Tribolium castaneum: one gene and its partner. The protein of the gene in region 1 interacts with the protein of each later gene in a pairwise test. Links are inferred from orthologs where the notes say so. Each region holds a gene or a part of one and is shown in the gene's direction. Other genes may lie near its edges. The genes, in order: scramb1 and P32.

The links.
Region 2: the proteins of scramb1 (region 1) and P32 interact in a two-hybrid assay, tested with the Caenorhabditis elegans proteins (2 studies listed by BioGRID). The link is inferred for Tribolium castaneum from reciprocal best matches to the Caenorhabditis elegans genes scrm-1 and cri-3.

Annotation. Positions count from the first base shown.
Region 1 is NC_087403.1:8,610,344-8,614,655, reverse strand, and holds the start of scramb1 (phospholipid scramblase 2), read left to right. Parts: upstream 1-1,419; 5' UTR 1,420-1,700; intron 1,701-1,750; 5' UTR 1,751-1,759; coding exon 1,760-1,817; intron 1,818-1,860; coding exon 1,861-2,064; intron 2,065-4,019; exon of another isoform or gene 4,020-4,312.
Region 2 is NC_087394.1:7,764,559-7,769,159, reverse strand, and holds the start of P32 (complement component 1 Q subcomponent-binding protein, mitochondrial), read left to right. Parts: upstream 1-1,550; 5' UTR 1,551-1,646; coding exon 1,647-1,848; intron 1,849-1,893; coding exon 1,894-2,044; intron 2,045-2,091; coding exon 2,092-2,285; intron 2,286-4,601. Other genes in the region: Nop60B (H/ACA ribonucleoprotein complex subunit 4), read right to left, coding at 1-162, 210-358, 515-527.

The DNA of each region.
Region 1 (4,312 bases):
AAAATTTTGTAAAGTGATCTTCCGCTGAGTGTTTTAAAGAAGAAATATAAGGATTGCGAATAACATTATGCAACAAAATTAGTAAGCTTATGTGAAAAAATGATAACCGTGAAGTCTGAAATATTAAATAAACACAAAAATAAAAGAAACGAAAGAGAAAGTACATATGAGGAAAATTACATTAATTCAAATGATAAAACCAAGACACTGAAACTGAAACTATTTTAGCGTACGACAAAATATTAATTTGGAGTAAAAAAAATAAAACAATTCCAGTCTTAATCACCTCCTTTTAATTCTGAGAACAATCATAGATCTACCCTTCGTAATTTCTTAAAAAAAGTTAAACTAAAAACTAAAAATCTACTAATTAATACTAATTCTTTATTGTGTAATTCATTATTTACTACTTACTGTTTTTTGTATTAATTGCGCCTACACCTTACCTTATGGTTTTATTTAGTTTATATAATTGAGCTTATACTGTAATTAATTAGTTACAAGATAAATTGTAAAAATGCTACAAAAAATATTTCTTCTCTCCTTAATTTTTATATTTTACACAAAAAATCGTAAAAAAGTCACTAGTTCCAAAATTTAAGCATTTAAATATTGTTTGTTTTGGAAGAAAACACTAGAAATCAGAAAATTTTGATCAACTAATATTCCAATATTTTTAATTAATTAACATTTATTGTAAGACATTTTTTTTTAAAGTTACATACATCGAGTACCATGTAATAATTAAATTTATAATTAGAATAAGTTTTTTTTGTCTGCGATTGATAAACTAGTGCAAACTGAGAGAAATTTGTTTTGTAATTACATATTACCCTTTGAAATTTTACTATTTGACTGTTCAACTTGATCAGTTATGATATTTGTAGTGTTTTTCGAGTTAAAAAAATATTAAAGCCTTAGATCTAGTGGTAAATTCAAACGTGGATTTTTGTGTGATGTGGCACAGTAAAACATAATTTATTTAAATGCTGTTTGTCGACAGCAAACGGGTCAACAAAATGCAAAAAAATACACATAGAACAAATTATGTAGTTCTAAAATTTAAAATAAAATAATAACTAAACGTTTGTCTGGTGGCAATTTCGATCATAAAAATAAAGCGTTTAAATAAAAACAATATACTTATTGCACTTAATATTCCGATTTAAACAAGCATTCTGGGTGACGTAGTGCGCGCGCTATGGGCCTATTGGTTAGGCGTTACCAGACAACCTCGCATTAGACTGTTTGGTGTAAATACCGTCATAAAGTCAACCAAAGCCCCAGCTCACATTTTACTACAAACAACATAAAACTTTACAACGCCATAAAACCAAATTATCAATCAAAAAGACTACAAGTTTGCAATTATTGTCGTCTCAATTAACGCAATAAAAATAAAACATCCCAAAATACTCATACTTCCCGGGTTTACAGCGCCATCTGGGGGCAATTTCCGACCACAAATTTCAGAAATTCTTGCGTCCTATTTGCACCCATCAGTAAACAATTTTAAGTATTACGTACCAATTAGTGTGTTTAACTATCCGACTGTCTTAATTAGCCCCAAAAACAAATAACTCAGCATGACCCCGAGGCTAACAGAGTGACTCATAATTTTGACAGCTTTTCAGTAAACAAAAAAGTACGTATAATCCAGTGTGCTAATTTTCCGAAATAATTCAATGACGTAACACTCTGTATAATTTGAAAAGTCGAAAGATAAAAATAGATAACATTTTTTTGATAGTTTTTAGAGATGTCGTACCCTCCACCTGGTGGACAGCACCCTGGGCCTTACCCTACACCCTACAATGGTAAGTTTTTGGGGGTTAAGTGGTGATACTACAAACACTTTAGGTCAGTATCCACCGATGCCCCCGGGTCAGGGCTATGGAACGCCGCCGCCGCCCGGCTATGGCCCCCCTCCGGGGTACGGACCGCCGCCTCAGGGGTACCCCCCAGGGCAGTACCCACCCCCAGGGCAATACCCGCCCCCAGGACACTATGGGCCTCCACCAGTGATCAATCAACCGATGGGGCCAGGTCCTGGAGGTGCACCAGGTATATTCAATTTTTTTTATTACATTTTTGTAAAATTTATATGTTTTTGAAGTCAGTTCGCTATATATTTTTTCCAAATAAATTTATTATCTATGTAATTATCTCAACATATCTCTCATCTGTTATCTACTAAATTTTTTTACAAGTGGTCCAAGTCCCATCATTATTGCAATAACCACTTTGCGATAGTATGTGCATTTTTATTGTACATTTTTTGAGATAAAAGTGTGTATATATAATTATGTAATCATTTATTTGGTAAAAAAACATGTCAAAAGAATTTTTTTGTCGCCGTCGAAGAGCGAAGTCCAATTGTTTAAGAAAGTAAATTTCACTAAATAAATGTATTTTGACAATATTTTTCTATGTTGATCGATTTGTATTCGATTACTTTGCTGTCCTGAAGAAAAGTTTAATCAAATATTCTTCTTACATTAATTAGAATTGTGTTACTTTATTTTCTTATCTTCTTGTTATAAATCTACAATATATAGTTCAAAAATTTTTAGGGCTTGTCTTTAGACCGTCTTTAGATCTTTTAAAGCAAGTTGTAGTACAATTTTTTGTAACAAATAGGATCTACTTCAACTAAATACCATATGATTATTTGAATTTATAATAATAATTGTAGCAGGTTTTATTAGGTTTTTAACTTGGATGAAAACGCTGGGTGTGATAATTTATTTTGTTGAAGAGTTAAGTATTAAAGTTTCGAATGTAATATTTAATTAGAATACATTTTTCCTCCAGTATGCACTAGTTTTATCAATTACAAAGAATAAAAACCGCCTAATTTTATAAATTCAAATGATCAAATCAATTCAAATAATCGCACAGAATACATAATTTACAAATATTTCATGTTTTGCGAAGTTTGATAAAAACTGTTTTATTTTATTTAAGTCATTTCGTGCGATCATGGGTCAAAAAAGTTGACTGCTAATTTTTTGAAATTTTTACGAAGTACGCCGTTTGGTTTTTAGTATGCAAGGTGAGTCTGCTGAGTATATTTTTTCTGTAAGACTTGACTTTTCGATTTTTAAATTCTTCAGTTATTAGACTTTCCTCTGTTGTTTCAAGTTATGCGATTTTTTCTATACTCACATTTTTGCATTTTTTTTTGTGAGTATTCGCATTTCTTATTTTGTGTTCTTTGGTATATTTTTTTGCAGTAAAACATTTTTCGTCAATCCCCTCCATATTGTCTTATTTTTTACATTCTTTTTTTAATTTTGATTTATGTTTGTTTTCTTCCACTCTTATTTCTCTTAATTTTCTTCTAGGTTTATCTTCAGTAATTAATAATTTCCTTACTAAAGTAATTTCAGTTTTAGAATTGAAATTATCTTCGAAATTTTTTCAATTAATTCGTCAGCTTAAAAAGAATTACTAGTTCAGCTATTTTCTCTTTAACTTTTTTTCCTATAATTTCTTCACAATTATCTTTGGCTTTATTTTCAGTCGGAAGCTTTGTTAAGGTTTTGCCAATTTTTTTTTCAGTATAATTTTTTTTATTTTGTCTTTTTTTACTATTTGCGTAGTCGCTATTATTTAGGAACTTTTAATTTTTTTTGTATTCTTTTCTGTTCTTATAATTCTTGTCTGTGTAAGTGAAAAATTACTAAAAGATTAGGGAAGATACCTTTCGAATGTCCATTCAAGCATGTAAAATGTGATGAATTTTTATTTAATTACAAATCGCGATTTTTTTAGGTGCGCGATAAGGTTTTTTCTACGATTTCTTACAATTAAAATGAATTAATCAATTATTTAAGTCATAACTCATAATTAAATTTGAATGTAATTTAGTTGAACTTAGAATGGTTGATTTAAATTGTTTACAAAAATTCGAAGCTAAAAGTTTCTAACGTAGGCCCTAAAAGAATCAGCCTGTATTGTTTAGCGATTAAAATGATAAGATAACTATTTGAAAGAAGAAAACAATTATTACACTGAAATACGTTGTGTGTGACTCTTTTCTGAATAATCACGATTATGTTCCTATTAACTATTAATAAGTCATGGAAATAAATATGAAGTGAATGATCTGTGCTTGATAAAAAGTGTTTGTTTGTCTTCAGAATTGATAGGGAAAATAATGGGTCAGTTCTAACCATGTCTGAACTAAGAACACAATTCAAATTTAAGTCAATTCCTCGAATTTTGGTTCGTAAATTTGGCAAACTATTTCGGATTAAACGGTCCCCAAAAAGCAAGGGTTACCATAAATTTCTCTCAGAAAGTGAAC
Region 2 (4,601 bases), on another chromosome or scaffold:
CCTTTTAATCCAAGCTACAACTTCGTGACTGCTTGGATTACTGGGCTTGTCCAGGTTAATGTAACCTGACTTAACATAATCGGAAATTTCCCTTCGTAAAGGGGAAGAACCAAACGGCAAAGGTACGTAATGGTTCGTTCTCACATTCAAACGGTCAAAATACTGCAAATCACGCTTTGATGTAACGAAAAACCGAATTTAAAACCCACCTTTAACAACAAGGGCCACTTGGAACTGTCCAACTTTGCAATCACTGAGGAGGGCTCCACTGCAAATTCGGAGCCTTTTTGAAGGTTCCCCAAGTCTTTGTCGCCCTTGCTTTTCTTCTTTTTCTTCTCCCTAACGGGCGTATCCGCCTCTGCACAAAATTGCGTTCTAAATAACGATAAGACAAAGCGGCCGGTTTTTTGAAAAAAATCATTATTTTTGAAACTCTAAATACATTTCTACCACTAATTATTTATCAAAGAACGAAATAAAGCCTCGTTAAAGATAATAATAAACAATAACTTACCAAACTCAGACATCGCTTAGAAAATAACCAACACGTGCATCCGACACAGAAAGTAGGGTTAGTTTTTTGACAACTAACAACAATTTTGACAGATTTTAAGTGGCGCTACTGAAAAAAATTTAAATGAAATAAATGGCGGGAAATGTTTTTTCGGTTATTTAGAGTCTTAAACGATTTTTCTTTTATTTTTTTTATTTTATTTTGGTAAACATTGGCGTTTTTATGCGCTGTAATCGGTGTTTAAAAATTTAAAAAATGTAAAAATTGCAATCTTTTTTTTTGTGTTTTTTTTCGGAAACACTGAGACTTAGAACTAAAATCAAAAAAGCATCAGATAGCGCCTAAAATTATCTATTTTCTTGCCAAAACCCGGAGCCGCTTCGGTCAACGGTTCCAGGTACAGAGGCATATAAAGTTTTACATTAAAAAAATATTTATCAAAAACCAAAAGTCTATTGTCCATTTTTTATTTCATTTAAAATTTTGAAATTTTTTGCTCAAAATTTTAATAATCAAGGCACTTACCTTCACAAAAATTAAGAAAAAAAATTTAAACTCACTCTAGCAAAGTTTTACGAACTTTTTGGCAAATAACTCAGAATGTGTTAGTTAATTACAAAACTTAAAAAAAAATGCCAATAGTTTTAGAAGAAATATAACATATGACGCAACTGTAAGTACCCTTCTATAGCTGTTTTTTTTGCAAAATTATATACGGTAACCCGTTTGCAAAATGTAATTTCAATTTTTAGAAGTTGATTACTCTACATTTTTCCAATTCAATCCAGGATTTTTTTTAAATATTAAAAATCGTTCTATCGAAGAGTTTTCTAAATTTTTCATTAATTTTAATTTTAGACCACAAAATTTTAATTACTATAAGAAAACTGGCCAATTATTGTCCGGTTTAACATTTTATCTGGACACCGGACAATCATCTGGGTGAAAACCGGACAGGTGTGGCAACCCTATGAGGAATTTGGTGACGATTTAGTGATTATCGTTTGTGGGTTGGTGCCATTCTGGGGATTTTCGTAGCGTTGGGTTGCGCGTCGCTTTTTTCTGACAGTTTTTTTGATAGCACGTGTTGTGGCCGGTTTTTTCACGCATTTCGCCTAAACTAAGTATAAAAATGAATAATTTGCTTCGAGTTGCGTCCAGACTCAGCTTCAAGACGCTCCTGAGTCCGGTTAAAAAAGTGTCCAACACTTTCCAGCAGCGGCAACTTGCGCGCAATCTTTGGTACATGTGCAATCGCAATGAGTCCGAAAACAAACTGAGCAAGTTGTGCACTTGTGGGTGCATGAGCAGGCACCAGCATGCACACAGTAAAGGTACGTAAGTGAGCCCAATAAGTTGGAGGAATAACAAACTTGTAGCCGAACGTGAACTGGTTGAGTTTCTCACTGAGGAGATTGTCCTGGAGAGGAAGGCCCAGAAGTCGGTGACGCTTCCAGCCGAGCTTGAGGGTTTTAAAGTGGGGTTGAACGGGTCTGAAGTCACTTTGAACAAAAAAGTTGAAAATGAAACGTGAGTCAAATGCGTCTCATTTCTTGTTATGAAGTGGCAACTTCTAGGATAAAAATTACTTTCAATGTGAACCACACAGTAGACTCTGATGAACTACCTAAAGTGGATTCGACGATGGACAATCCAGAATTTGGAGAATTAAAGTCAAAGCCTGAATTTCGAATTGAAATTGTGCGAGGGTCGACCACTTTCAGTGTTTTGTGCTCATTTTTAGAAAGTGATGAGCAAGAGGAAGATTCTAGTAAGACACTTCTGTTTTTAATTCACAAGATTTTGCACAACTTTCGGCTCAAAATCTAATCGAATGAAACGCCATTTGGTGATAATTTTATTCGGTTTTAGAGGATTAAAAAACGCTTCGAACACTAAAAAATCATATATGATAGCATTTTTGTGAAGATATGCGAAATCTTGGAATAAACTAAGCCCTTAGCTGAAAAAAGTTCAACCTGATTTAGCAAATTTTCGGCTTATTTTTCGCAACAAAATGTCCTAAATCCCCCGAAAACGCAAAAAATTGGGATGTTTTAACCTTACTGAAAGATTTTAGGATTTTAGCTCTAATACATCCTTTTTTGGTTAATTTTTGACGATTTTCTTCGAAATAATTAAGTTTTTGACGAAAAAACGTTTTGAAACGCTCAAAAAAAGGCAATAATTAGACAAGAATGTGCAAAATAAATGCGTCTTTGGCTCAATTAAGAATGAAATCGAGGAAATCAATCTCAAATAGAATATCATGGTCAGTATGATTTGGTGTTTTTTTCAACTAGTTTTGGAGGATTGTAATTCGAAAAAAAAACTGCTTTTTGGCGTTGTTTTGCAATTCTTCGGCTTCTTGTAACTAAATTTTGCAAAACAACTGCGTTTGTAATCTAGAAAACCTGTTAAAACTCCCAAAAACAATACAATGATCGTCTATTTTTTATTCAGTTTAGCGAAATTGCGGAAAAAAACACGCTATTTTCAGGCTAGTTTACTGATTTCTCATCTTTTTTCTTAAAAATAATTGTTATTTATGGTCGAAAAACGTGCCAATATGGTTAAAATTGCTAAAAATAATGCCATTTTGACCTGATGCTTTGTTTGGTAATTCTTTTTTGTAACCAAATTTTGAGATAACTGCTTTTTAAAACTTCCAAAAACCAAAAAACTACAATGATCACCGGTCTATTTGTTTATTCAGTTTAGCGAAATTTCTCAAAAAGTACGCTATTTTCAGACTAATTTAGTGATTTCCCAGCTTTTTCTTATAACGTTTTGAAAAATTATTGTATATTTCTTGTTTGAAAACGTGCTAAAATGGTTAAAATTTGTAAAAATAATGTCATTTTGATCTAATTTTGGCTTTGTTTGGTAATTTTTCGGCTTCATTGTGACCAAATTTTGAGAGATAACTGTGTTTTAAAACTCCCAAAAACGCTACAGTGATCACAAGTCTATTTTTTATTCAGTTTATTCAGCTATTTTCAGGCTAATTTACTGATTTCTCATATTTTTTCTTAAAAATAATTGTTATTTATGGTCGAAAAACGTGCTAATATGGTTAAAATTGCTAAAAATAATGTCATTGTGACCTAATTTTGGGTTTGTTTGGTAATTCTTCGGCTTTTTTGTAACCAAATTTTGAGATAACTGCTTTTTAAAACTTCTAAAAAACCACAATGATCACCAGTCTATTTTTTTATTCAGTTTAGCGAAATTTCTCAAAAGTACGCTATTTTCAGACTAATTTAGTGATTTCCCAGCTTTTTCTTATAACGTTTTGAAAAATTATTGTATATTTTTTGTTTGAAAACGTGCTAAAATGGTTAAAATTTGTAAAAAAATGTCATTTTGATCTAATTTTGGCTTTGTTTGGTAATTTTTCGGCTTCATTGTGACCAAATTTTGAGAGATAACTGTGTTTTAAAACTCCCAAAAACGCTACAGTGATCACCAGTCTATTTTTTATTTAGTCTATTGAAATTTCGTTATTTTTAGGCTGACTTAGTGATTTCACAACTTTTTTCTTTTGTTTTGAATATTTCTGGTCGAGAAACGTGCTAAAATGGTAAAAATTATGTCATTTTGATCTAATTTTGGCTTTGTTCGGTAATCCTTCGACTTCTTTGTAACTAACTTTGCAAGATAAATGCGTTTCTTGTTTATAAAAACTGTTAAAACTCCCAAAAACGCTACAAGTTTAATGAAATTTAGAAAGAATACGTTATTTTCAGGCTAGTTTATTGATTTCCGATGTTTTTTCTTACGTTTTGAAAAATAATTGTATATTTCTAGTCGAAAAACGTACTAATAAAACGGTTAAAATTGGTAAAAATAATATCATTTTTTACCTTTTGCGATTTTTGTGTCCAATTATACGGAAAACTCGCAAACAGATTAAGGTTTTATCTCAGAAACGCGCTTACATGCTTGAAAAAGGTAAAAATACTATTCTCAATAGGTTTTATTTTTGACGAATTTTCTCGAAGTAATTACGTTTTTGTTTAAAAAACGTTTTGGAATCTTCAGTAAAAGTAAAAATAACACCTTTCTCAGCTTTAGTAACGCTTTT